Caenorhabditis elegans: one gene and its partners. The protein of the gene in region 3 interacts with the protein of the main gene of each other region in a pairwise test. Each region holds a gene or a part of one and is shown on either strand. Other genes may lie near its edges. The genes, in order: scrm-2, cat-4, F19C7.8 and rimb-1.

Region 1 (5,551 bases), on a different chromosome or scaffold from region 3:
GTGAAAAGTAGTCAGCTACCTTCCAGTTTGTATCTTCCGGTAAAGGAATCCTCGAAGCCATCCTCAAATCCTTGTGATAGCTTTCGCCAAGCGATTGCAAAAACGCCGTCGGAATATTTGAATCACGAAAATGTGCAGTTCATTGTGTCCGTTTTCGGTGACGCCACGTGTTTTTTGAAAGCTTTTCAAAGTCAGTTCAACGGGAATTCGCGGAAAAAGAGCTTCTTCTACAATGGAATTCTTGTTAATTCAAATCTAACCAATTCAAATAATCAATCGATCAGAATGGTGATTCCGGATTTGGTGAAAGCAATTAACACAAGCAGTTAGTAATTTGAAGCCATCTGCCTTTTAAAAAATGTCTTTTTTCAGGAGTCTCCCTTGTAGGTTCCGACAAAATCAACGAGGTCCATGAAAGTGCTCATTTGGTTCAGAGTTATGCGAGCATGTATGTCCTGATCCTGTTCACCTTTGAAAATTATAAAAATTTTTATTCAGGATTCGAGATATCCTTCTTGGCAATAGTGTTCACGACTGGGAAGAAATTCTGACAACTACACTTGCTCCGGTGACGTCAACCATGCCCCCAACAGCAAAAAGAGCAGCATCGATAGACGATGAGGGAGAAATGTTGACGTTCGATGGTAGTGCGGATGAGGAAGTGGTGATTCCTCCATCAAATGCTACTAATTCGACGTCTACAATTGCTCCGACAACTCATACAATCCTCTCGAGCACAACAGAAGTGAAGACTACTAGAAAGCAATTCAAAAAGATTGTTCCGATTCCCAAACCATCGAAGATCCCGTCTCGTTCTTCGACAGCTCGTCCCACAACAACCACTGAAGAATACGATGCGGATACGGAAGAAGACGCCGAAAAACTTGAAATGATGTCAGGGAAGAGGAAAGTGGATAATGGAACTACTGTATATGTTCCCAGTGATCCGGATGCCCAGGAAGGTTAGAATTTGGCACGAGGAGTAGGCGATCACGCCTCGTCGATCTAAGGCACACTGAGCAGATCAGACCTAATTGCGACCTGCTCGGCAAACTCCACCAGCTTTCACGTAGTGCGCGTTTGAAATTTGGTAATTTGAGATTAATTGATAAAGGCCTAGTGGGTTTGCGCCGCCTGCGACCAAAGAATGATTGGACAGACTAGGAATCCCAGCTGAGTGAGGCGCGAAATGCGGGCCTCACGCTGATACCGCTGTGTATTCGAATGTGTATTCAAAATATATTCAAATGCAAAAAGGCAGTTATTTGAAGCAGCCGACACTGTCGGGGTTCACTATACATTCGGATACATGCGGCTTGAGTGACGCCGTGAGGCCGGCGCGGTGACCGCTGAGGCCAGCGGATGCGCCGTTGCGGCGACTTCATGGAAGCCCTAGCACATACCTATCTAAAATACTGCGCCAGAAAGCTGACAACATTCTGGAGAAAGTATCTACACTAACTATAAGTTAACTCGTCAGCACTGTTGCCAGCTATACCGTTACCAATTTTCTTACAGGAATCGATGCGAACATCCTTATCTACATCCTACTCCTTGTCCTTCTCATTTGGTGCTTCTGTATTGCCCTGTGTCTTATTTGGATGTACGTGTGTGCCAAGCAACGAAAACACAAGATGATCAGTAAAGCTGAAGAGGAACGTGAAGCTATGTTGGCACTTTTGGAGAAAGGACACGAGACGGAGCACAGTTCTCGTAGAGCTAAACCATCGGTTTCTGTGGAAAGTGATGAGTTTGATAAGGAGTGGAAAAATGTGAGTTACAAAAACAGTTATTGATTTTTTTTCCAATTTTTAAATTGCAGATCAAACCATCCAAGTACACCCCCGCTTCTGTTTCCACTAACGAAACTAAATCCGAATTGGAGAGTGTGAAGCAACCGGTTGCAGCTACCCATGTCGCTCCTGTAGAAGTTTCAGAGTTCGAGGAGAGGCTCGATGATGATGTGGATCATAAGCCAAGACATGGAGGATATGTTAAGACGAAGAGAACTGCTGACTTACATTTTGACTGAAAATGAATAAAGTTTATGAGGGAATTAAATGGAATGTTAGTTGATGACTCAGGAATAAATTTTCGATAATTCCCAAGAGAAATGTGGTGACCCCTGGTAGCTTCTAGGTAATTGCAAATGAATTCTCGTATGAAAATGTTATAAATTGAAAAAATTCTCTCAATTTTTAGTACACGAGTACCCTGAACCTTGTGCTGTTTTCAAAGTATGTGTGTCTAGCTTCCCTCTTCGTCTATGCGCCTCTCACTTTCCGAACACATTCGCTGGTCCCACTTTCTGAACCCGCTTTTTCTCTGTTTCATGTTTTTTGAGCATCAATAAAAACAACGAATGTTTCCTACTTTTGACCAGTTTTCCGGTTTCAACTGTTCAGCAATTTTTTTCGATCTAAAGCAATAGTTTTTACTGTAATTTCTGTAGTGTTTGAAGAAAACCCCACGGATTTATGAGTTATAAAATATCAATATGCGTTTTTAAGTGTTTATTTCGACGAAATTTTTTTTACCTCTATTTTTATCAGTTTTAGAGCTCGATGAGCCGAGTAAAATTATTGAGTAGTCAGTAAACTCTTTTATCTATTTTTTCTATTTTTGAGCACCAATTTTGTAACAAAATGAAATTTAAGAATTCGGACCAATCTTTGCTTAGTTAAGCGCAATTTCAAACAATCAGCAACCCGTTTTTTATAAGTTTCAGATTCGAAATAATGGATCAACTATTTTATAATGGACCACCTGATTACGTTGAAATTGAAGACCGAGCCATAACAACTGAACCAGGAGCTTCTATACAAGCAGCTCCCGGAGCAATTTGGATGGAAGCACTTCCAGCGATTGAGGGAATCCCAGCAGGGTTGGAATACCTTGCCTACTTGGACACGGTCATGGTGCATCAAGTGAAGGAGGTTCTTGAGATTCTTACTGGATGGGAGAGTAAAAATAAGTATGCTATTAGAAATAAAAATGGACAGCAGTGTTACTATGCGTTCGAAGAATCCAACGCTTGGGAGAGACAGTGTTGTGGATCGCAACGAGGTTTTACGATGCACATTGTGGATAATTTTAACAAGGTGAGTTATGGCCTAGAGATGCAGATTTCTAAGCCATGAAGCTTGAGTTCTTATCACTTTTTAACTCCTGATTATTTCATGGGATGTGTAATAATAGGAAAACATTCCTAAAGTTTCTTGAAAATTCTTTTAAATTAAGTTTTTAAAACATTTGTTTTGTTAAGAATGTGCTCATCGTCAAACGAGAATTAAGATGCTGCGCAGACTCATTTTGTGGATGCTTGCTAGGTCTTCAAAACATATGCACCATTGAATCACTATCAACTGGCCTTCTGGGTACTGTCCTTCAAGGATATGGTTGCACGAATTCATTCTATAACATTTTGGATAAAGATGGAAATCTGATTTTCCTAGTTGATGGTCAAGGATGTTGCACAAGTTGCTGCTGTGAAGATAAGGATTTTACGGTGACAAGACTTTGCCGAATTTAAAATACTCCATACTTTTCAGATCAAAACTCCCGACAGCTCCGTGCCAATTGGCTCAATAACCAAGAAGTGGGGTGGACTATTGCGTGAAGCGTTTACCGATGCCGACACTTTTGCAGTCACCTGTGAGTTAGTCTTGAAAGTGAAAGAATAGTTGAAAGAATTTCAGTTCCCATCGACCTTGATGTCAAGCTCAAAGCGATACTGCTGGGAGCCACATTTTTGATTGTGAGTTTTTGTGCTTCTTATCCAAAATTTAATTTAACTATTACTCTATTTTCAGGATTTCGTGGAGTTCGAAAATAATAACTGATGTGGAAAAACTGGAAATCTCGCAATGCACTTCTCGCTTGTTTTCTGCGATCAGAGCTCTAATTATGAAATGATAATGTGCTTTCTTTGTATGCATGTATATTAAAATAAGACATTTTGCAAACGCGCCGTTTGCATCGCTTTGCTTCTTTTCTTCAACATCTTCAAAATGAAATAAAATAATTATAATTATATCGCACTTCCAATAAGCGTAAAGCAAGAACGATTGAATATATAACGGAGAAAACTCCGATATTAAAAATCTAGAAATCTTTTGATTAAAAATCTTTCGGTAAACTGATAAATACAAATTTGGCCTACTTTTCACCTGTATCGTTACCACCGACATGCTCTACTGCCATGCACATCTCTTCAATTCCGTGATTTACGAGACGAGAGGCAATAAAGATCACAGTTACGTTTTTTAAAGATTACAACTTTTTCAACTTCTTAGATTTTCACGAATACTTCCTTGTTGCATGTCTACGAAGCAAGCCTGCTGCCGAACCCAATTCTTTCAAAACGAACTATATTCATTTTTCAACCCTTTTTGATAAGTTTATCTTTTGTTAAAATATAAGAAAATGTCTTCGGAAGATCCTATTTATTCACAAAACGAATCACTGTTGTTAGGCAGTTCTAACAAGTAAGTTTCTTTTTTTGCACTGCTAGTGAGCCCAAGATTTTCCAAATAAAAGATTAATTTTGGCCATTTTATATTCAAAAAATTTATTAAAGGAAGTAAAACGTTTATCGTTCAGTTTTTCACAAAAAAATATATACATAAAAATTTGCGAAAACTCTGAATATTTTTTAAGATCCCAAGCAAGTAATTCTTCTAAGACAATCGCTAAAAGAGCTACAGTATTCATTGGAATCTTGTTCATAACAACGCCAATTGTTTTTGGCTTGTCCGAAGTTGTTGGTAAGAATAATGAGGAAAGTGAGAAAAGCGATATATGTTAAATAATTAAGAAATGGATGTTTCAGGTTCTCCTAAAAATCAAACATCTGAAACCACTACAGCAGAAAATAATACAACTCGTGAGTGTTATATGTATTTTTCAGAAAATGATATGATAGTTGTCGTATTTTTTCGTGTGCGGCAAATTTGTTGAATTTGGAAATTTTGCCGTTTGCCGTGCAACGGCAAATTTCAAATTCTATTCATAAAGTCTATTCATAAAGTATTCATATAGCCCAAATAAACTGTATACTAAAGTATTTCCAGTTTCAGTTGTCCATCGTACATCCTTCAAAACACAGGAGAAGATGGTCCAATTGATTCCGAAATCAGGACAAGACTACATAAAATTCACTTATGACATAATCAAGGACACCTATTCTTATGATAACGTCGATGGAACCCCAGTTAGGCCAATTGTTGCTTCTAATATAGAGCGAGTCAGACAGAGAACATAACGAAGCATACTTACATCGCAAGAATTATCTCGAATATGCACAAGTAAGTTTTCAATTATATCAACAAAGTTTATTAATGAGTTTTAGATGCGTTGGTCGTTCAATGTGAAGAATGATGGAAAGAGAGTTGAAAAAATAATGTTTCAAAATTACCGGAACAGAACCACTTGATACTTTTGCCGTTGAAGCATTTCCTGAAGCTTGTTATTCAACAGGCCACAACGTCTGATAAACAGATTTATAAAAATTTCTAATATTACTTTTCAGATAAGTTGCACCTATTATCCG
Region 2 (5,487 bases), on a different chromosome or scaffold from region 3:
GCTCGAAAGATTCGTATTGGAAATATGCTTGACACAGAACTTTGGAAAGCGACTGATGTTTCGATTGTGGATCAGAACATTGTCGACATGGCGATGGAAACGGGCCAATTAAGAAACACAAAGCGAATAGATGATGGTCCAATAAAAAAATCATTCAAAAGAACAGAAAGCGCTGTGACAATTGATTCAACAACATCTACTTCAAATCAAATTCAAGGTGTAATTGTTGATGAAGAGAACTATGTTGTTGTTGGGTTTGTTTCAAATTTTGGATTTAGGATTACGAATATTAATATTTTAATTTCAGATCATCAATAACAATGATCCAGCTCCTTTCTGACTACTGTGAAGCCATATCTGAAATGCCATCATTTTCCCAAGACTGGAATTCGCGAGTTGTGGAATTACTGAAAACATTTAACAGTCGGTGTTGTCAATTGATTTTAGGTGCAGGTGCCCTACAATTGGTTGGATTAAAGACTATATCTGTTCGAAATTTAGGTATTGCTCTAAAGTTTTACCGTAAAAAGTGTTCTTTTTTCCAGCACTCGCAGGTCGATCACTCGAGTTAGTATGCCGCTTCATTCCGATGGTTCATGATGAGATGGACAGAGTTCTTCCTGAAAATCGAAAAAGTCTGCTTCGGTACTTCAAGCAGGTTGAAAGTGAATACCGCGATCACGTCAACGAAATTGCTGCCAAATTAATAAGTGTAATAGCTCATTATACAACAAATTGTCTTGGAATGTGGGATGTGAAAGGAGTGATTCCATCGCCAGAATTTCAACAAATTTGTCGCCATATGCTGAAATTCCACAATGGACTGGTTGGCATCATGCCAAGAGATCAGATCGAGGCGTTGTTCCGTCAAGTACACGAAAACTTTAAAGCCAACTTACGAGAACACGTCACTGGAATGGGTATCACACCTCATGACCCTTTAAAATACGGGTAAGAATAAATTACTGAAATTTCAACTATAATGTACTATTTTCAGATATGTCACAAAAGATTACATGTTTTATCAACAAAATGTGAAAAACATGGAAAGTTGCCGTAATTTGGAGCTCGAGTCGCTTAATGACATTATGTTTGAATAGGACTTTTCTTTGTAAAATATTTATTTAATTTTCAATCTGGTTTATTTCTTGTGTATGATTGTGATTGTTTGACTAATTACGGTGGCTTTTATTTCACGCTTCTTCTGTAAACTTCCCCAATTCACTGGTCCTTCATTCCTAATTTTTTAGTTTGTGCTTCTGGGCTAGCTTTATCACTTTCATTTCCCAGTTAATTGTTTTTGTTTTTATTTATCTGGTATTTAGTAATTTATTGCATGTACAATAAAAGCATATTACAGTATCCAGGCAATGAACATGTTGTATGAATTTAAAAAGCTGAAGCATAAGATGTTAGTAGATTCACATGGAAAGTTATGAAAAGTTAGTAACAGTTAAAACCCAAAAAAACAAGTAAAAAAGGAAATGACTAGAATTTTTAGCGTTTGTTGATAAGATTAAGGAATTCTTCGCGAGTCTTTGGATCGTCACGGAATACTCCCAACATGCAGGATGTTGTGGTGGAAGCATTGATCTTTTGAACTCCTCTCATTACCATACACATGTGACTAGCTTCAATAACAACTGCAACTCCGGATGGTTGTACAGCTTGAACCATTGCGGTGGCAATTTGCTTTGTAAGACGTTCTTGGACTGAAATATTTGAACGTTTAGGTTAGGTTCCAATCAAAAATGTAATTTCTCAATTTACCTTGAAGTCTTCTGCTGAACATCTCGACTATTCTTGCCAACTTGGACAGACCAAGAACCTTCTTGTTTGGAATGTATCCAATATGAACTTTTCCCATAAATGGAACTAAATGATGCTCACAAAGGGAGAACATTTCAATATCTTTCACAATAACCATCTCATCGTGATCCTCGTCGAATACTGCCTCGTTGAGGAGCTCTGAAAAATGAAACTTTGAGCTTTAACGTTGTATTGCTATAACTGACCATCAAGTTGATCATCGTATCCCTTTGTGAATGCCATCATTGCTTTGGCAGCACGTTCTGGAGTTTTCAGAAGTCCCTGACGATTGATGTCTTCTCCTGAATTCCCAAAATCAGTCAACGTGGGAAAATGTATTTTGTTTTCATTTTTTCCCTTATAATCAACGGACACAACCTATTTTTTTCTGATTTATGTTATAGATATATCAATTGAAATCACAAGTTCCTGATGATGTGCTAGGGTACCTTGATTGCGTGATGTAATAGATTACAATTTGTCATGAGTCTTTAAATTAAAACAATTTTCGATCTTGATTTTTGATTTGAGAGTGGAATATATTGAACTGAACTTCCTTCCAGACAATAACAACTATCAGTTATAGATCATCGACTTTCAAAACATCTTGGTCAAATTTATATTTGGGAAAATATTTATCAATATTCTTTGAGTCACTGATAATGAATAAATGCTAAAACATTATAATCTCTAGAATGAATCAAAAAGTGTGTTGAAATGTTTATCGAAACCAAAGTTTTCCTAATTCTGCTGACGTAAACAGTTGACAGTACGTTTTCAGAACTCTATAATCTATTCTTAAACAGCTTATTTTAAATTTGTTGTTGATCGACTAATACTTTCCGAACCAAAGAATCACATGAACTCACCGACATGTTGAATGATGCTCTGATAGGCATTGCACATTGATTTCAAATGATCTTCCTTTGGAATCGTTCCGTTTCTTTTCTTCATCTCAACTTTATCGTCTTCGGATCCAACACTTGCGGCGTCAGATGACAAAAATCCGCTTTCGTTCTCAATTCTGGACATTTTGATATTATGATGTTGATAGAGTGGGTAAAGCCTGAAAACATTGATTGAGTAAGTGAGTGAAATAAGGTGATATTGAAAATGAGCCGTGGGTAAATCTTAAGAAAGCTGAGAAAGCGTAGGCGACAAAAAGAAAGGATAGACATTCAAATAATTGCCGGATGAAACCGAATATGTGCAATGTCCAAGCAAGAAAGAAGAAATTACGAAAAAAAAAGGTACAACACGTCATGTATTATGAAAGGTATTCTGGGAAAAAATAGGCAAAATGAAGGGACAGAAGGAAATCAATCTAGTCGAATGGATAGACTTCATCATCTTTTCCCACTTATGTGAAAAAATGAGAAAAAAAGAATAAGAAAATAGCAAAAAATCGAAAAAGAAACGGAAGACGTCGTCCCATACATCAATCGTTTTCCGCCATTCCTTCATGGCAGCACTTCTAGGTATTCAGGAAAATGTGGAGGAAGAATAATTTATTTATGCAAACAAAAGGAACATGTAAAAAGAAAATGAAACCGATTGATTAGGTGGATAGGCGCAACAAGAAAAGAAAAAGTGGACTGGTCTGAGGAGATACAGAGAGAAGGATCGTAAATCAGCGAGGAATGATATAGACCTTCACTCACGTGGACTTCTAGTTCACTATCAGTTTTGTTGCCGAAACTTTGGCAGATTAATATCTACAAGTTACTCTTTCATGCACTACAATCGAAAAAATTGAGAAACTTTATATTCAAAACGAAATTTGGAATTTATCAAACTTCACATATATTTCTCACGAAATTCATCAAATGGTCCTCCTGGGAAGTTATTTAAAAACAATAATAGGATCACATGTGGTAGAATATACTCCTCCTATTTTTAAAACTCATCACACCTAATAATATTACTCATCGAAACAACCAATCTGAAAAATAAACTAGATTCTGGCAAAAAAATTACTAATGAGTTTAGTACAACACAGAAACCGTGTTAAACTCTCATATATACTGCCAACAGCCACAAAAATAAAATACAATTTCTAATATTTCACCATGTCAAAAAAGTAGGACCTCAAATTTGGGAACGATTTCATTCAACAGTTTCGGTTTTCAAAAATTGTAAAATTTTAACTACTTTCCTTTCTAAGTCATCATCAGGTGGAAAAATGAGAAAGTAAAGAAAGAAAATGAAAAGAATTGAGGGGTCTAAAGAAGTACACTCACTTTCTTCTATTCTTCTACTTAACTACCTACATAAGAATTTCGTTGAAACAGTTAAAGCTAGTAGAAAGATCAAACCCACGCCTTTTTTTTCCCGGCAGACTCGATGTGTTTTGATGACATTCACACGAAATGACGAGAACGGTTCCAAAATCAGCTGAAGATGAGGGAAGAGGCGTTTCGAACTTGTAAATGTTTTCCTAGTTTTCTAGTTCTTTTTCATCAGATATCGTTTCTTATATTTGCGATTTCTGGGCTGATTGGGTACAAGTTGGGAGGAGGTGATGACGAATGAAAACAAGAAAACTTGAAATACTATTTTGTTATGATCAGGATTTTTTGGGTTATTCGAAGTCTCTCATAACTTTTGGTTCTTCAGAGTTAGAGATTGAGAATCAAAAAGAACTATTTGAAAAAACTGAGCTATTGTCAATATTCTTGAAAAGTAAAAAATTAAAATCGAAAGTTGTTACTGAAAAGTACTGCCAAATAATACCGTAACACTCGTAGAGGAAGTTCCCCGCAATTTATTAGGTTGAACTATAAATAAGATAAGAGCATAAGCAAAATGCCGCCGCTAATGATGTACTACCAATTGAAGCCGCAATTTATATGGAGTTTATAATCATTGCATGATAAATTGGTTCAGGAACTTTGAATTGTCACCTTTGAGATAAGATCGTGCACAAAAGGAGTTTGCGGGATTAATTAAGTGACGGCGATTACGTCAGAAACATAGAGAACAAGTAACATAGAGAGTGTCCTAAGGAATACGGTTTTCTGACTGGTGATGATTTAGTGAACATCATCTTGCACAATTTTTTAGACTAGAATGTTCAATGGCGCGGTTGAAAGAGTCAATAGATTATGAACTGGATTATGTGATTTGGAATTATTTATTTTCCTGATAAGAATCACTTCAAACTTTTATTACCGCAAGTTTGACTTTATTAGACCAAACTCTACAGGCTTACCGTATATTCTCTATTAGTGCTGCACTAATTTTTGGGTTTTTTTTTTGAATGCATCACTTTTAAAAACTGCAGTACTACTTTAGAATGCAGAACTAATTTTCGAGCGCCTCTGTTCAATTGAAGGTCATTAGCATTTAGTTACGAAAGGTCACCTTTTTGAGCATAAATTAATTAAGATTGTGGGTTTTCGTATTTCAATTATGTATGTAAATAAACAACGAATCTTGTACAATTATACAAAACACTCAACAAAATGTCAAAAATATTTTGACTGTTGATATAAAAAGAGGTGCATTTCAGAAAAACCCCGTTAAAAGCATCATAAATTAATAATCATATATATTAGGAAAACAAATAAACAGAAAGTATCCATCTTCTTCTCTTTTCTTATAGAATAACGATAAACTTTATATTACTTTAAACAATGGTCAACTATGTCAATTTATGTTACAATTTCCATCTGCAAC
Region 3 (6,281 bases):
TATTTCGTGTATAAGTGTTCAATGACATTACAATGTGTGATAATAATTTTGTGATCAGTTGTGAAAGAGAGTTCAGGAAAAGTGCAAGTTTCGTGGCTCAGTGATTTTTGAGCAAGCCATCATTTTTTTTCTGGAAAGAGAAAATTGAAAAAAAAATGACGGATGATATTTTTTTTGCAAAAATTGTGAAGATTTTTTACTTTTTTCTTTCTGGCATACATCTCAATTGACTCTTCCATAACTGTATGATGAGACGAGACGCAGACAGGGAGAGTGTCTTGCCGTCTGATTGTGAGTCTCTCCTTTCCTCCATTCCATCATGCTAGAACGCGTTGCAACTCTGTGGAGCGCGATCCAATTCAAAAGTTTTCTGATAGCAAAATGTGCAAAATTACATGGGAAGCATTTTTGTAGTTTGCAATTTTCTGATATCTCGCTTCTCTGTGGAGTTATATTTGTTTCAAACAACCTGTTCTGAAAAACAAATATTGGAAAACTCGAAGAAAGATGAGCGGATCATATTTTCTGCAAAACCTGCAAGGTTTTTGATTTTTATTTGGCAGACATCTTTATTAACCTCAAAATAATGTCATAACTCATAAGGGATGAGACGCAGACAAGGAGAGTGCCTCGCCGTCTGTATCTTCCCTTACCTCCCTTTTTACTGGGTTACCTTCAACGGGTCGTATCTTCGTAGAGCATGCTTCAGTCAACAAAATTTCCAATTGACGAAATGTGCAAAATTACACGGGAAAGATTTTTGTAGTTGTCAATTTTTTGATATCTCCTTTCTCCGTTGAGTTATTTGAGTTTGAAAATGGCTGGGTCTGTGACGAGTTTCTTCAGACATTGGCTCTTTTTTGAAAAAAACTGAACAGTTGAAGAGCGGTGCTTGTAAAAATACTTGAAAAATATTCTCATCTCGTTTGCACCATGTCGCTTCAAATTTTAAGGTTTTTGGCTTTTTTTTTGAACAATGTGAACTTCTACAAAAGCGGGCATAAATCAATAAAAACGCCGTCTTCAAAAGTTTATAGCTTATTTAAAATCCAAACGGGACCCCAAAACTCTTCGCTCTTCCTTAGCTCAATCCAGGTAATTTATCTCCATATCCCCAAACAAAATTGAGCCATCAAGCGAAGAGGTGTAAAATTGTGCAATGCTCAGGGTATTGTGCAATTTATTCGAAATCTTTAGCAGAAGAAAACGAGAATAATGAGTTCTTGCGAGCCATTCGGATATTGGTCATCGCCGGGCAAGCCGGAGCAGCTGCTCTCGCCGCGTTCCGAAATTCCATCAGGATGACAACGTACTAAAAGAGCATTGTACGAAAAAAAACACGGAGAAAATTTGTGGCAGCACACACAAAAACACAACAGCCGCATAAATTTCTCTCCATTTTTTGTCTTCTTCGTTTCTTTCGACACACAGCTGATTTTACACAGAACATCAAAAAGTGAGGGTGGATAATGATGATATGGGCGGAGATGAAGATTTTGTAGTTTTGGGTAAAAAATAGAGGAAGAGAAGAAGATGAAGCTCAGTGTTTTTGGTTTTTTCATCTTTATCTCATCTTTTTTTGAAAATTAGTTGTCGGCAGAAAGCAAATGTACTAATTGAGTAGAGGATTTATGAGTTTTAAAAGTGAAAAAATATTAGGCTACATTTTCTTTTCCTAGAGGTTTGAAATAAGCCTACCACAAAAAGGCCTGCCTACCTTCAAGCCTATGCTTGGTACCTTGACGTTCCGCCTGGGCGCCTCTAATATGCCTTCCATTTGCCTCTGGACACTTATATCTTTTTACCTATATAGTTTTCGGTCGTTAGTGTATAACTCAAACTGTGCTACGTGTGTAGGCAGACGTAGCCAGCCTTGTAGGCAGGCAGGCTTTATGGTTTACATATAATCCCAACTTTAACAAAAATTAGTTATCTTTCTAAACATAAATTAAGCGAATTCGTGCTCTCATTCATGTATATTAAAAGCCCTTGGCACTCGTAGCTCAAAGCGTCATGCGTGTAGGCAGCCTTGTTGGCAAGCAGGCAGGCAGGCATCCATTTTTCTGCCTACACAAAATGCCTCCTATTGCACAAAAATGCCTGAAAAAGATCAACCGGTTCATCGTTCCCGTTCATGTAAGAGGTCTCAAATCGCGAAACTTTCCCTTCCAGTTTTTATCAGAAAAAATCTGAGCTTTGTTAGGCCCGAAACTCTTTGCAAAACTAAAAACTCAAATTCCATAAATCACAATTAAGCTGTTTCTCTGCTATTTTGTATCTGCTCAAAAGTCGGGATTTGTCATTCGAGAACTCGTGAGAACCTCGCCGCCCAATTAAATTTTTTGAGTATACTATGGTCTTGTGATCAGTTTTTTTGGACCAAGTCTAAAGTACATATATTTTTAATTTTATGCGGCGCGTGTGGTAGGCCTTTTCCAAACCTCTGGTGACTGAAAATTCAAAAAAAGAAACCGCAAAACCAGTAACTTGTAGTTTTAAAACTCTAACCTGGAACTTTGCGTCAAAAAACATATCAAAAACAATCCAGTAAAAGACTTTAAAAACCAGGACACATTTTGCACAGTGATTGACAGGGAAGTTGATTGTTTTTCAAAAATCGTTGTTTTTTTTCTAGAATATAAAAGTATATAAACCTTTAAATTTTGAACTCTCTCCAATCCATCAAATTTCCAAGTTCTCAAGTCAAGAAATACTCAATCAATCTCTCTTTGCAGGAAACATTGTGTGTGTGTGAGCAAAATGGAGTTTAAAGTATCATCAAGCCAACGGTGTTCATCTCCTCCTTGGTTCCTCCATCACCACCTGACCACCACTGCTGGAGGAGCCTCTCGTCCTCTTCCATTGCATCACCGATCGCACTCTGCTTCCACCCCCACTACCACTTCATCCATCACCGCATCACCGTCCTTATCTCAACTTCCTCCTCACCAGCCCTACCATCTTCATCAACAACAGCAACATCATCAACAGTTGCACAAAACCATGACAAGTGCACTTGAGAAATGTACATCTTCGCTGTCTGAAATACATAGATTATTAAGAGGTACGTTTTTATGCAAATGTTTGGAGTTATTGTGTTTGTGAGTGCTGTGGTTTTGACTTCTAAAAATGACTTCCAATTTTTTTTTTGAAATTTATTGTACCGTCAAACAGTAGTGAAAACTTGGTTATCATAATTTTGGAAGTCATATATTTTTTCTTACGACTTTTTCATACTTCAATTGCGCTGCGTTCAAAGTGTTGCTATTTGAACATTCTAGATTTGAACATTCTGAACATGCAGAAATTATAAAAGTTCTTTAAAAATTATAAATGTTTGGAGGATTCGGCAAATTACCAAATTTCGATTGAGTTTTGAAAACTCTTTTTTGAAATGTTTTATTATGCCCCACTTTTAAGGATACTATTCCCATGGATACTCGGAAATTTATGTAGTACTTGACAAAAAACTGAACTAAAACCTCCGAAGTTTTTTTTTTCAAAAATATTGATCGTGTTTCTTGATCTGTGTCATTTCAAGAGTGTAAAATTTCCTGCAAAATGTTATAGCAAAAGCCCAACGGTTCTTCAGATATGAGCTCAAATTGGAAATACATGATTGATCGGCAGCTTCGGCTTAAGTTATACAAAATTTTCCATGAAAAAACGAAACATACACCACCAAAATTCAAAATCAAATTAGATTTATGTTTTGAAAAATTTGCTGCTATGGCAATTTCTCTAATGCTCTCATAATTGTAATTAACAAAAAAAAACGTTTTTTTAACGTAAATAAATGAAAAAGATTTATTATACACGTGAACTTGAAATAAAGACGTAGTTCAATTAGTTGCATTTTTAAAATTTCATTCCACTGCTATTATTCTAGACTTTGCGGCATCCATAACTAGCGCTTTCGAGCCCTCGTCTTCTGGTAAATCTTGGGTTAAAACTGGCCAAGGCCGATCCAACATCACACCAGCTTTCCGGGAGGGTCCATTTACCATGAGTGTAGAGCTTGGCTACAAATTAAATTAAAAAACACACATGTTATATTCCACCATACCAAAGAGAAAAGATGGTTGTTCAGTTCTGTCTTCTGGGCGTCCGCACCTAGCACCAAAGTTGGTAATACCGGCGTTGTCAAATTTTTCGGAATCGATTTTTTCTGTGATTCCAATGATAACAGATCCTTTGGGACACCATTGAATCGATCTCCAGTATCCATATGGCGAATCATTGTAAATGACAATTTTGTTATCGATGCTTAGGGTATCTGAATTAGAAATTGAATTAGCTAGTTTACCAATTAGAATAGTTACTTCCGTCCGGTGGATTGCAGAAAAAAATCAGTTCAGTGACACCATGATCTAGGCTCAAAACGCCTCGTTTCGTTTCAAGTTTGAGTTGGAATCCGTTGATGACTGAGCCTTTAGGACATGCAATATAGTCCTCCCGCGTGGGTAAATTCCCATGGGCAGTAGTGTAGAACACGGTGAAGATGAGCAGTGCAATCAGCAGGTGCATAGTTGCAGCCGTTATTAATTGATTGAGTGAAATTAATTTCTTCTTCTCTTTTAATTTTTTTCGCTCCTTAAAAATTTTCAGGTTTTTGTTTGTTATTTTGACGATTCTACGCCCACATAGGAGAACAAAACTTTGAACACAACTAAACTGAAGTGACTAAACTCAATGGAAGTTCGAGAAAGCTGGCGTTTATGTTAACAATCTTTGTTCTTTGCGGCATTTCTATAACTGAAAAATTTGATAAATAGAGTTCTCTGTGTTGCTTAGATAAGAAGATGACAGATTAGAAATTTATTATACATGTAAATGCACAGTTCGAGGGAATGCCTTTTTAAAATTTCGTTCCAGAGGCAATACAAAAAGCAGTTCAGATTTTACGGCATCCATAACAAGCGCTTACGAGTCCTCGTCTTCTGGTAGATTTAGGGTTAAAGCTGGCCAAGACCGATCCAACATCACACCAGTTTTCCTGGGTCCATTTACCATGAGCATAGAAGAACTCTGCAAATTCAATCTCAGAACACACTAAATGTTATTTTATCACACCAGAGGCAAAAGATGGTTGAACAGTTCTGTCGTCTTGTGGACGTCCGCATTTAGCAGCCAAGTTGGTGATACCGGCGTTGTCAAGTTTTTCGAAATCAACTTTTTCTTGGATTGCAATAATAACAGATCCTTTGGGGCACCATGTAATCTGTCTCCAGTATCCATATGGCGAATTATTGTCTATTACAATAAAGTTATCGGGGCTTTGGTTGTCTAAATTGGAAATTTAATTACCTAGTTTACTAATTAGAATAGTTACTTCCGTCCGGTGGATTGCAGAAAAAGACGAGTTCAGTGACACCATGATCAGCCTCGAAAAGGCCTCGCAACGGTTAAAGTTTGAGTTGGAATCCGTTGATGACTAAGCCTTCAGGACATGCAACTAAGTCCTCCCGCGTTGGTACATTTCCATGGACAGTAGTGTAGAACACGGCGAGGGTGAGCAGAACACTCAGCAGGGGCATGTTTACAACAGACAATATTTGATTTGATTTATTTCAATTGATTAGAAAATCTTATATACTCACTACCAGAACGTGACCTTTCAATTAGAAAGTGTCAACGTTAATGATTAATTGATTGAAACTATTTTCAAAGACTCCTGTACTGTGAGACCTGTGAGAAATAGTTAAAACCTAATACCTCTAAAATGACCAAATATCAAAACAAAACTTAGACCTGTGAGTTCATTGTCTCAAGTTGTAGTATTCAGTCATATTACTCGAAATTAGAAAATTACAACCTTAAAAAACCTCCAAAACTTAGCTAGAGATTTGGTTGAATAAATTTTAAATAAATATTTTATAGAATTTCTTTGTCCAAGCTTTCTCAAATTTTTGGGAAAAAAACGAATAAAATAATAATTACATTTAAATCAATAATTTTTTAAACGAATATGATTGAGAAATCGTGTGGCCGCGAATTTTGAATTAAGGCCCTTTTATTGAATTTGAGCTGGTTGTTTCCCACTTAACTAAATTTTTCCGTTTTTCTTGTGGGTGAATCGAAACTTTAAATTTCAGTAATTTCCGCACATCCACCACTACTTCTTTAAGAACGCGTAAATTATGGCGTTTGGACATTGACTTATCAGTAGATTTATATCGGACTTAAATGTCAGAAAATCTCAAAAATTGTAGGCTGCATATTTACTCCCATGATATCCAAAATTCCAACTAAGTTTGGCCCGGCACAATTTGCAAACATTT
Region 4 (6,616 bases), on a different chromosome or scaffold from region 3:
TAGATTTGCCGAATTTGCCGAGCTCGGCAAATTTCGAAATTTGCCGCACACGTCAAAAATTTTACAGTACAATTTTGACTAAAATTATTGATTTTTTCGCCAAAAATTTAGTAAAATGACACAAAATTGAGCTATTTTGATGCTTAAACATACATACTACACGGAACTAATTCAGAAACCAGATATGTGTTAAGAATTTGGTAGTTTTGGTGTTCCAAAAACATCAAAAATTATCAAAATTTTCCGAGTTTGTTAAGCACGGCAAATTTGCCGAATTTACCGAGCTCGGCAAATTTGCCGAATTTGCCGTGCTCGGCAAATATTGAAAAAAGAGATTTGCCGAATTTGCCGAGCTCGGCAAATTTTGAGATTTGCCGCACACCCCTGCCCTATACCCTATACCCTGAGAAAGAGGGACTCTTCATGATCCATAGGTATGCCTGTCATTCTCTATTTTTAAACGTTCCTGCAGCAGTAGCACAACAGAGCCAGCAGTTTTCCTCTTCTTCTCCATCTTCTTCTGCTTCTTCCTCTCTTCCCAAAAAAAAAAAAAAAAAAAAAGTGAGGGGGCTCACTGCCCCCCCCCCCCTCCCCCCCCCCTCTTCTCCTTGAAGCTCATCCAGACGTCGCTGTCCTCCTCCTCCTCGTCCCCGGGGCGCTGTGTGTGTGTGTGTGTGCTCCGTGAGCATGTAGCAGCTTCAGCCCATTTAAAGGCGCACACTCTCTGCATCTCTGCGTGTCTCGACACTCGTTTTTTCTCTTCTTTTCTGCTGCACACACACACACACACACACACACGCTCATGCCAGAGCACTTCTTGCTCCGGGGGGCTCCGCGCGGAGCCCGAGAGGACCTCCTCCTCCTTTTTCTTCTTCGCTTTTTAGTTCTTCTTGCCTCGGTCTCGCCCCTTGTTTTGCTCTCCATGTAGTATATACATCTGGGTGTGTGTGTGTGTGTGCACCTTTGGAGCATTTTTTGAACTTTTCCAGAACTTTGGAGCAACATTTTCAGCTTGTTCAGTGCACTTTTTAGGCTGAAAATCCTATTTTTAGGTTTTCGAAAGTTTTTTTGGAGCATTTTTCGTGCAATTTAGGTGCAAAATTAAAAAAAAGGGTTTTGTAGTGAATTAAAATTTTTTTGAAACTTTCGCCTTTTTAAAAAAATGTTTCTAATATCTTTAAAAATTGGAATATTTTGGAAAACAATTTGTTTTCAATTGGCAATTTATTAATTCTGAGCTTCTGAGCGTAAATTTTTTTTTATTTTGGAGCAATTCTGAGATGTCTTAGTGCATTTTTCGGGCATACATAAAAAAAAATTTATCTTAATAATAAAAACCTTAAATTTAGGCTTCACCGTCTGGAAATTCAATTTTTTCAGCTGAAAAACTTTCAAAAAAAAAAAAATTAAATTTTCACATTTATTTTCTCTGGAATTTTGGAGCAATTTCAAAGCTGTCTTAGTGCATTTTTAGTACACAAATATTTTTTCATTTTTCTTAAATTTTAATAATCTAAGCTTAAATAAAGGCTTCACCGTCTGAAAATGCAACTTTTTTCAGATGAAATATTAAAAAAAAAAACCTCTTTTATTAATTTTGTGCTCCAAACTTTCCCACGGTACGCAAATCATGTAATATGTACTTTTAAACATTATTTTTCCAATCAAAAATATCCAACAGCTTTTCCTTACAATTTGAAAATTTTTATTAAAATTTCAAAAAAATTTTTTTTTTTTTTTAATTTCGAATTTTTTTAAACTTGTTGTAACTTTTTTCCCTGTCGGCGCCAATTAACAAAATACGTAGAATTTTGCGCTTATTGTTTTGTTAGTTAACAAATTTTTGACAACTTTCTTATCAGCTGAGATTTAGGTGTTTCAGTTCGCAATCTGCGTCTCTCCTTGCTCTCCTCTATTTTAAAACCCCCATAACTTTGTTCTTGTGAGAGTTATCAAAAAATTGTCAACTAACAAAATATAGAGCACAAAAATATGCACATTTTGTATGTTGACAATTTTTTGATACCTTTTTTAGTTTTCGAGATATCTTAGTTTTAGTTTAGCTGTACCTTTTTCTGGCAAAAAACTTCCAAATTTCGGCAATTTTTCGGCAAATTTCCCGGCAAATTTCGCCAAGTACATCGGGCTCTCAGACAAGTGGTCTGTGAGTGGAAGTCGATAAAAGTAGTTTACGTGCTCTCCGTCCCCCCGCTTCTTCTCCGTCTCTGCTTCTATTTCTCCATTGACTAGTCCCACTACTTTTTACGGGGCGGAGGGCTCTCTTGCACTCCAGCTTCTTCTCTTTTTGTGCTCTTTTTTGCCCGTATGTGGGTGCTCATTTATTTTTCTTTGGTTTTAAAATAAATTCGGTTTATTAGGCTACTCGTAAAAATGAAGAAAAAACTTCAAATTCAAACGACATTAAAAAAAAATTTAATAAAAATTTTTTGAATTGCTCAAAAGCCCCACCTATATATATATATAGCTCCGCCTACTTCTCGCACAGACCCCGCCCACTTTTTGACTCCGCCCCCTTATTGGCAAAAGTTCTTGAAAAAAATAAAAATAAAAATTCAAATTGAAACAATTTTTTTTTAATGAAGTAGTTTTTTTCTAAATTGATGAAAATTTCTAAACAGTTTACAAGCACCGCCCACTTTTTGACTCCGCCCCTTTGTTGGAAAAATTCTTGTAAAAAAAAATAAAAAATAAAAGCTTCTCTTTCAAACGATTTTTAGTTGGTTTTTGTATGAAAAGTTTTTTTCCTAAAATAGAAATGTCTGAATAATTTGCAAGCTCCGCCCTTTTCTTACCCAGACTCCGCCCCTTTATTGACTAATTTTTTTTTGTCCATTTACCTGAAGTTCAAAAAAAAAATTTACAGTTTCATAGAGTAATAATTTTTCAAAAATCTCTTTTTCCAATGTTTAATGTGTCATTATAAACCCGCCCAGTTTTAAGCTCCGCCCATTTAGGCCCCGCCCATTTATGACCCAAATATTTTTTTCTCTATTCACCCGTGGATTTCCCTCCAACAAGTTACCCCAAAAATAAAAATAAAAATTCCTGCAGGCGCCCACCGGGATCTAACATCGTGGCCTCTTCCAACAACAACCATCAATCGTCTACACCATCATTCGGCGGTAGGTTGGACCGTTTTTCTTGTTGTCGACAATTATGCTGTGTCAGGACTAGAAAATCTGAATTCAGCACGCTGAGAGCTTCAAAATAAGCCCCATATTGCCTAGGTTCTAATAAATATGAAAAAATTTGGTCTCGCCACGAAAACTTGTAGGGTTTGGTAGTCTTGGTGAATTTGGGTTAGTCTTATTTTTCCTAGTTTTTTTTGATAATTTTGACACAATCTGAGCTAAAAATTGAGAAAAAATCTTAAAAAATAATAAAAATATGGATTTTCGAAGATTTTCGAAGATTTTCGAAAATCGATAACTTTGCGAATTTTAATTTTTTCTACCTGAATTTAGTTTCGAAAATTTTGTAATTCTTTGAAAAGCTTTAGAAAAATATATTTAACATTCTACACAGTACCCCGGGACTTTTCGTGGCGGGACCCAAATTTTTAAAATAGTCGGGGCCTAGCCAAGATGGGTGTTAAATGAAAGGTCTCGAAGGGCTAAATTCAAATTTTTAGGTTACAAAGCTTTAAATTGAGTTTTTAATTTTTTTTGAAATTAAAAAAAAAAAAAATCCAAAAAAAAAATCCAAAAAAAAATCCAAAAAAAAAATTTCAAAAATTTAAATTATTAATTTCAGGTTCGTGGGGTCCCTACAACAAGGCGGACCACCTAGTCACCAACTGAATGCTGGGCGGTCTGTCGGGACCCGGTCCGCCGCCCCCACCACCCCCCGCATCCTCCTATGGCATGGTGCCAGGCCCGTCGACCTCGTTCACCAACCATCTGGGTCCCACGACGTCATCCGCGTCTACAGTACCACCGACGAGTGACGCGTTGCTCCTGCAACTCCGTTCGAGACCCAATTCTCGCGTTTTTCGCGCCCTTTTTCAATATCTACCGTTAAGGGATTCGCCGAACGAGAATCCACAGCTCGAGCTGAGCCTTCAGCCGGGAGATGTGGTTCTGGTGAAAGGGGAAATGGATTCGGATGGATTTTATTGTGGGGAAACGCTGGATGGACGTCAGGGACTGGTACCATCAAATTATGTAGAGAGGTGAGCATTTTGAAGCTTAAAAATTGAGCTTTTTATACTTTTTTGGGCGAAATCTCACTTTTTCCCGTGAAAAAAGATTTAAAATTCGGAGTCTGAGATTGAAAATACAAAATTCGAATTCTCTGTGTTCAGAGCTTTCAAATGACCCCCATATTGGCTATATTCCGCCAACTTTGAAATTTCCGGGTCCCACCACGGAGGGGTACTGTAGTTTTCGTGGCGGGATCCGAAAATTTTCAAAAATGACGGAACCTAGCCGATATGGGGGTCATTTTAAAGGTCTCAACGAGACGAGTTCATTGGAGCAGGTTTTATGTGAAAATTCGATCATTTTTGAGGAAAAAAAATTTTTTTTGTTCAAAAAAGTTTTTTTTTTTTAATTTTTGTTTTAACCATGTTTTCTGTAAATAATCAGAATGAGCATAATCTCAGCTTCAAAATAGTAATCCGCCATACTTTGAAAATTCGGGTCTCACCACGAAAACTCCACCGGCTACTGTAGTTTAGACGGAAAGTTTGCAGTTTTATATTTCTAATAAATTTTTGAAAACTTTTCATATACCCTGTAAAAAATTTGTGCTGAGTAGCATAAAAATTGACAAAGTTACGGATTTTCGAAAAGATTCAAAAAAATCAAAATTTTTAATTTTGTAAAATATTTAAAAATTCTGTAACACGAAAAAAAGTTTGATTTTTTCTATTTTACCATTATTTTCGAATTTTTCACGCTATTCGCTTTAATTTGACAGCCAACATTCCCAGGCTCCGCCAATTTTGAAAATTTTCGTGGTGGGACTCAACAATTCAAAAAATTTCAATTTTACCAAGAACCTAGGCATGATGGGGGTCAAATGAAAGGTCTCAAAAAACTAAATTTGAATTTTGTATTAGTTTAACTTTTTTGTCAGCATCCTCAGGGTTACGGTAGATTTTGAACTTTCCATTGGAAAATTTTTTCGGAAAAGTTTCGAAAATCCATAACTTTTCTCATTTTTGAGATTTTAACTTGAATTAAAATGTATAACAATTGTGAGTATTTGAAAAATATGGCAAAAATAATATAATTCTGAAAAACTCGAAAACTACAGTTCCCTGGGGCTTTTCGTGGCGGGACCCAAATTTTAAAATTAAAAGGATATAGGCATGTGTTGGGGTCATTTTGAAGCTCCCAACGCGGTGAATTTCTAATAAAACGAAAAAAATTTATATTTTGAATAAGGAAAATGAAAATAATTTTAAGAATAATTTTCAAAAAAAAAAAAAATTTAAAAAACTTTTTTTTCTAAATTTTTTTATTTCTCCAAAATTTAGAAAATAAAACCAAATCTTTTCAGAGTTCCGGATTCAGTGCTCCTGGCAAATGCACGGGCTCCATCACCATCATTCCCGCTTCGAATACCCCAACATTTCTCGACAATCACACACGACTTCTCCTCTCCGGATCACTCAACACTACCCGATTCTGTAAGTTTTTGAGGAATTTTTAAAGAAAATTTGGCTAAAAATTCTTTCAAATTCAGTTTTGAAAAGCAATTTTGAAATAAAAAAAATTTAAAAAATTTTCTGGAATTTTTTTTTTTTTGAAATTTTTTTAAATTAATTTTTTCAAAAATATATAATTTTCAAATTTTTCAGGTTTGCCCTTACCCACCAGCTGACGTCACAAAAGTTACTGTACAAGAGATCAAGAACAACGAAACGCCTAGGAGTGAGTTGAAAATTTTAAAACATTCTCGAAAAAAAATTTTTTTTTTTCGAAATTTTCAAATATCGAGCCGCTACTCAGCCAATTTTCGAGATAAGCTCTTGAAAACTAATAATTCAATTTTTTCTTGCCAGTAGCTTCAATTTAACACCCATATCGGCTAGGCTCCGATGAAAAGCCCAGTTTTCGAAATTTTTTCCGGGTCGCGCCACGAAAACTCTGGGGGTACTGTAGGTGATAGATGTCTTTGACTTTTTGTATTTTTGCAAAGTAACCAAACTTAAAACACATGTTTTAGGCTAAAAATCAGCTGAAAATCTCAGATATTGATAAAGTTACAGATTTTCGAAAAATTCCAAAATTTTTAGAATTATTGTGTTGATTTTTTGAAAAATCTACATTTCGTAAACTTTCATGGAAGATATATTTGGCTAAAATTATTGAATTTGGTACAGTCGTTGTCTCTTTTAGGCTCCGCCTACTTTTGATGGGTCTCGCCGCGAAAAGTTTCGAAAATCCGTAACTTTTTCAATTTTCAAGATTCTAGCACAATTTTTTTTTCAAAACGTATGAAAACGTGTTGAAAATTCGTTTAAAATTAAACTTGAGCACGGTATTTGGATCTACAGTAACCCAACGGGTTTTCGTGGTGGGACCCAGAAATTTTCCCAATTTTTAAAACAGGCGGATTATAGCCAATATGGGGCTCATTTCGAAGC

The links.
Region 1: the proteins of F19C7.8 (region 3) and scrm-2 interact in a two-hybrid assay, tested with the Caenorhabditis elegans proteins (one large-scale study listed by BioGRID).
Region 2: the proteins of F19C7.8 (region 3) and cat-4 interact in a two-hybrid assay, tested with the Caenorhabditis elegans proteins (one large-scale study listed by BioGRID).
Region 4: the proteins of F19C7.8 (region 3) and rimb-1 interact in a two-hybrid assay, tested with the Caenorhabditis elegans proteins (one large-scale study listed by BioGRID).

The regions. Positions count from the first base shown.
Region 1 is NC_003279.8:13,232,629-13,238,179, forward strand, and holds scrm-2 (Phospholipid scramblase), read left to right. Parts: upstream 1-2,719; 5' UTR 2,720-2,738; coding exon 2,739-3,101; intron 3,102-3,265; coding exon 3,266-3,508; intron 3,509-3,551; coding exon 3,552-3,654; intron 3,655-3,698; coding exon 3,699-3,757; intron 3,758-3,812; coding exon 3,813-3,842; 3' UTR 3,843-4,035; downstream 4,036-5,551. Other genes in the region: ZK1053.2 (uncharacterized protein), read left to right, coding at 1-325, 373-448, 499-962, 1,519-1,772, 1,823-2,032.
Region 2 is NC_003283.11:10,562,268-10,567,754, reverse strand, and holds cat-4 (GTP cyclohydrolase 1), read right to left. Parts: upstream 2,876-5,487; 5' UTR 2,842-2,875; coding exon 2,679-2,841; intron 2,112-2,678; coding exon 2,016-2,111; intron 1,969-2,015; coding exon 1,771-1,968; intron 1,713-1,770; coding exon 1,498-1,712; 3' UTR 1,316-1,497; downstream 1-1,315. Other genes in the region: vps-54 (Vacuolar protein sorting-associated protein 54), read left to right, coding at 1-254, 308-501, 546-951, 998-1,100. UniProt on the Caenorhabditis elegans protein: Involved in serotonin and dopamine biosynthesis that affects movement, mating behavior, foraging behavior, and cell migration.
Region 3 is NC_003282.8:4,634,575-4,640,855, reverse strand, and holds the start of F19C7.8 (SH3 domain-containing protein), read left to right. Parts: upstream 1-2,760; coding exon 2,761-3,064; intron 3,065-3,885; coding exon of another isoform or gene 3,886-4,022; intron 4,023-4,066; coding exon of another isoform or gene 4,067-4,276; intron 4,277-4,322; coding exon of another isoform or gene 4,323-4,527; exon of another isoform or gene 4,528-4,555; intron 4,556-4,894; coding exon of another isoform or gene 4,895-5,028; intron 5,029-5,073; coding exon of another isoform or gene 5,074-5,286; intron 5,287-5,332; coding exon of another isoform or gene 5,333-5,405; intron 5,406-6,281. Other genes in the region: R105.5 (Vitelline membrane outer layer protein 1), read right to left, coding at 3,886-4,022, 4,067-4,276, 4,323-4,527.
Region 4 is NC_003281.10:1,785,263-1,791,878, forward strand, and holds the start of rimb-1 (Variant SH3 domain protein), read left to right. Parts: upstream 1-3,070; 5' UTR 3,071-3,143; intron 3,144-3,774; 5' UTR 3,775-3,821; coding exon 3,822-4,192; intron 4,193-5,526; coding exon 5,527-5,656; intron 5,657-5,827; coding exon 5,828-5,900; intron 5,901-6,616.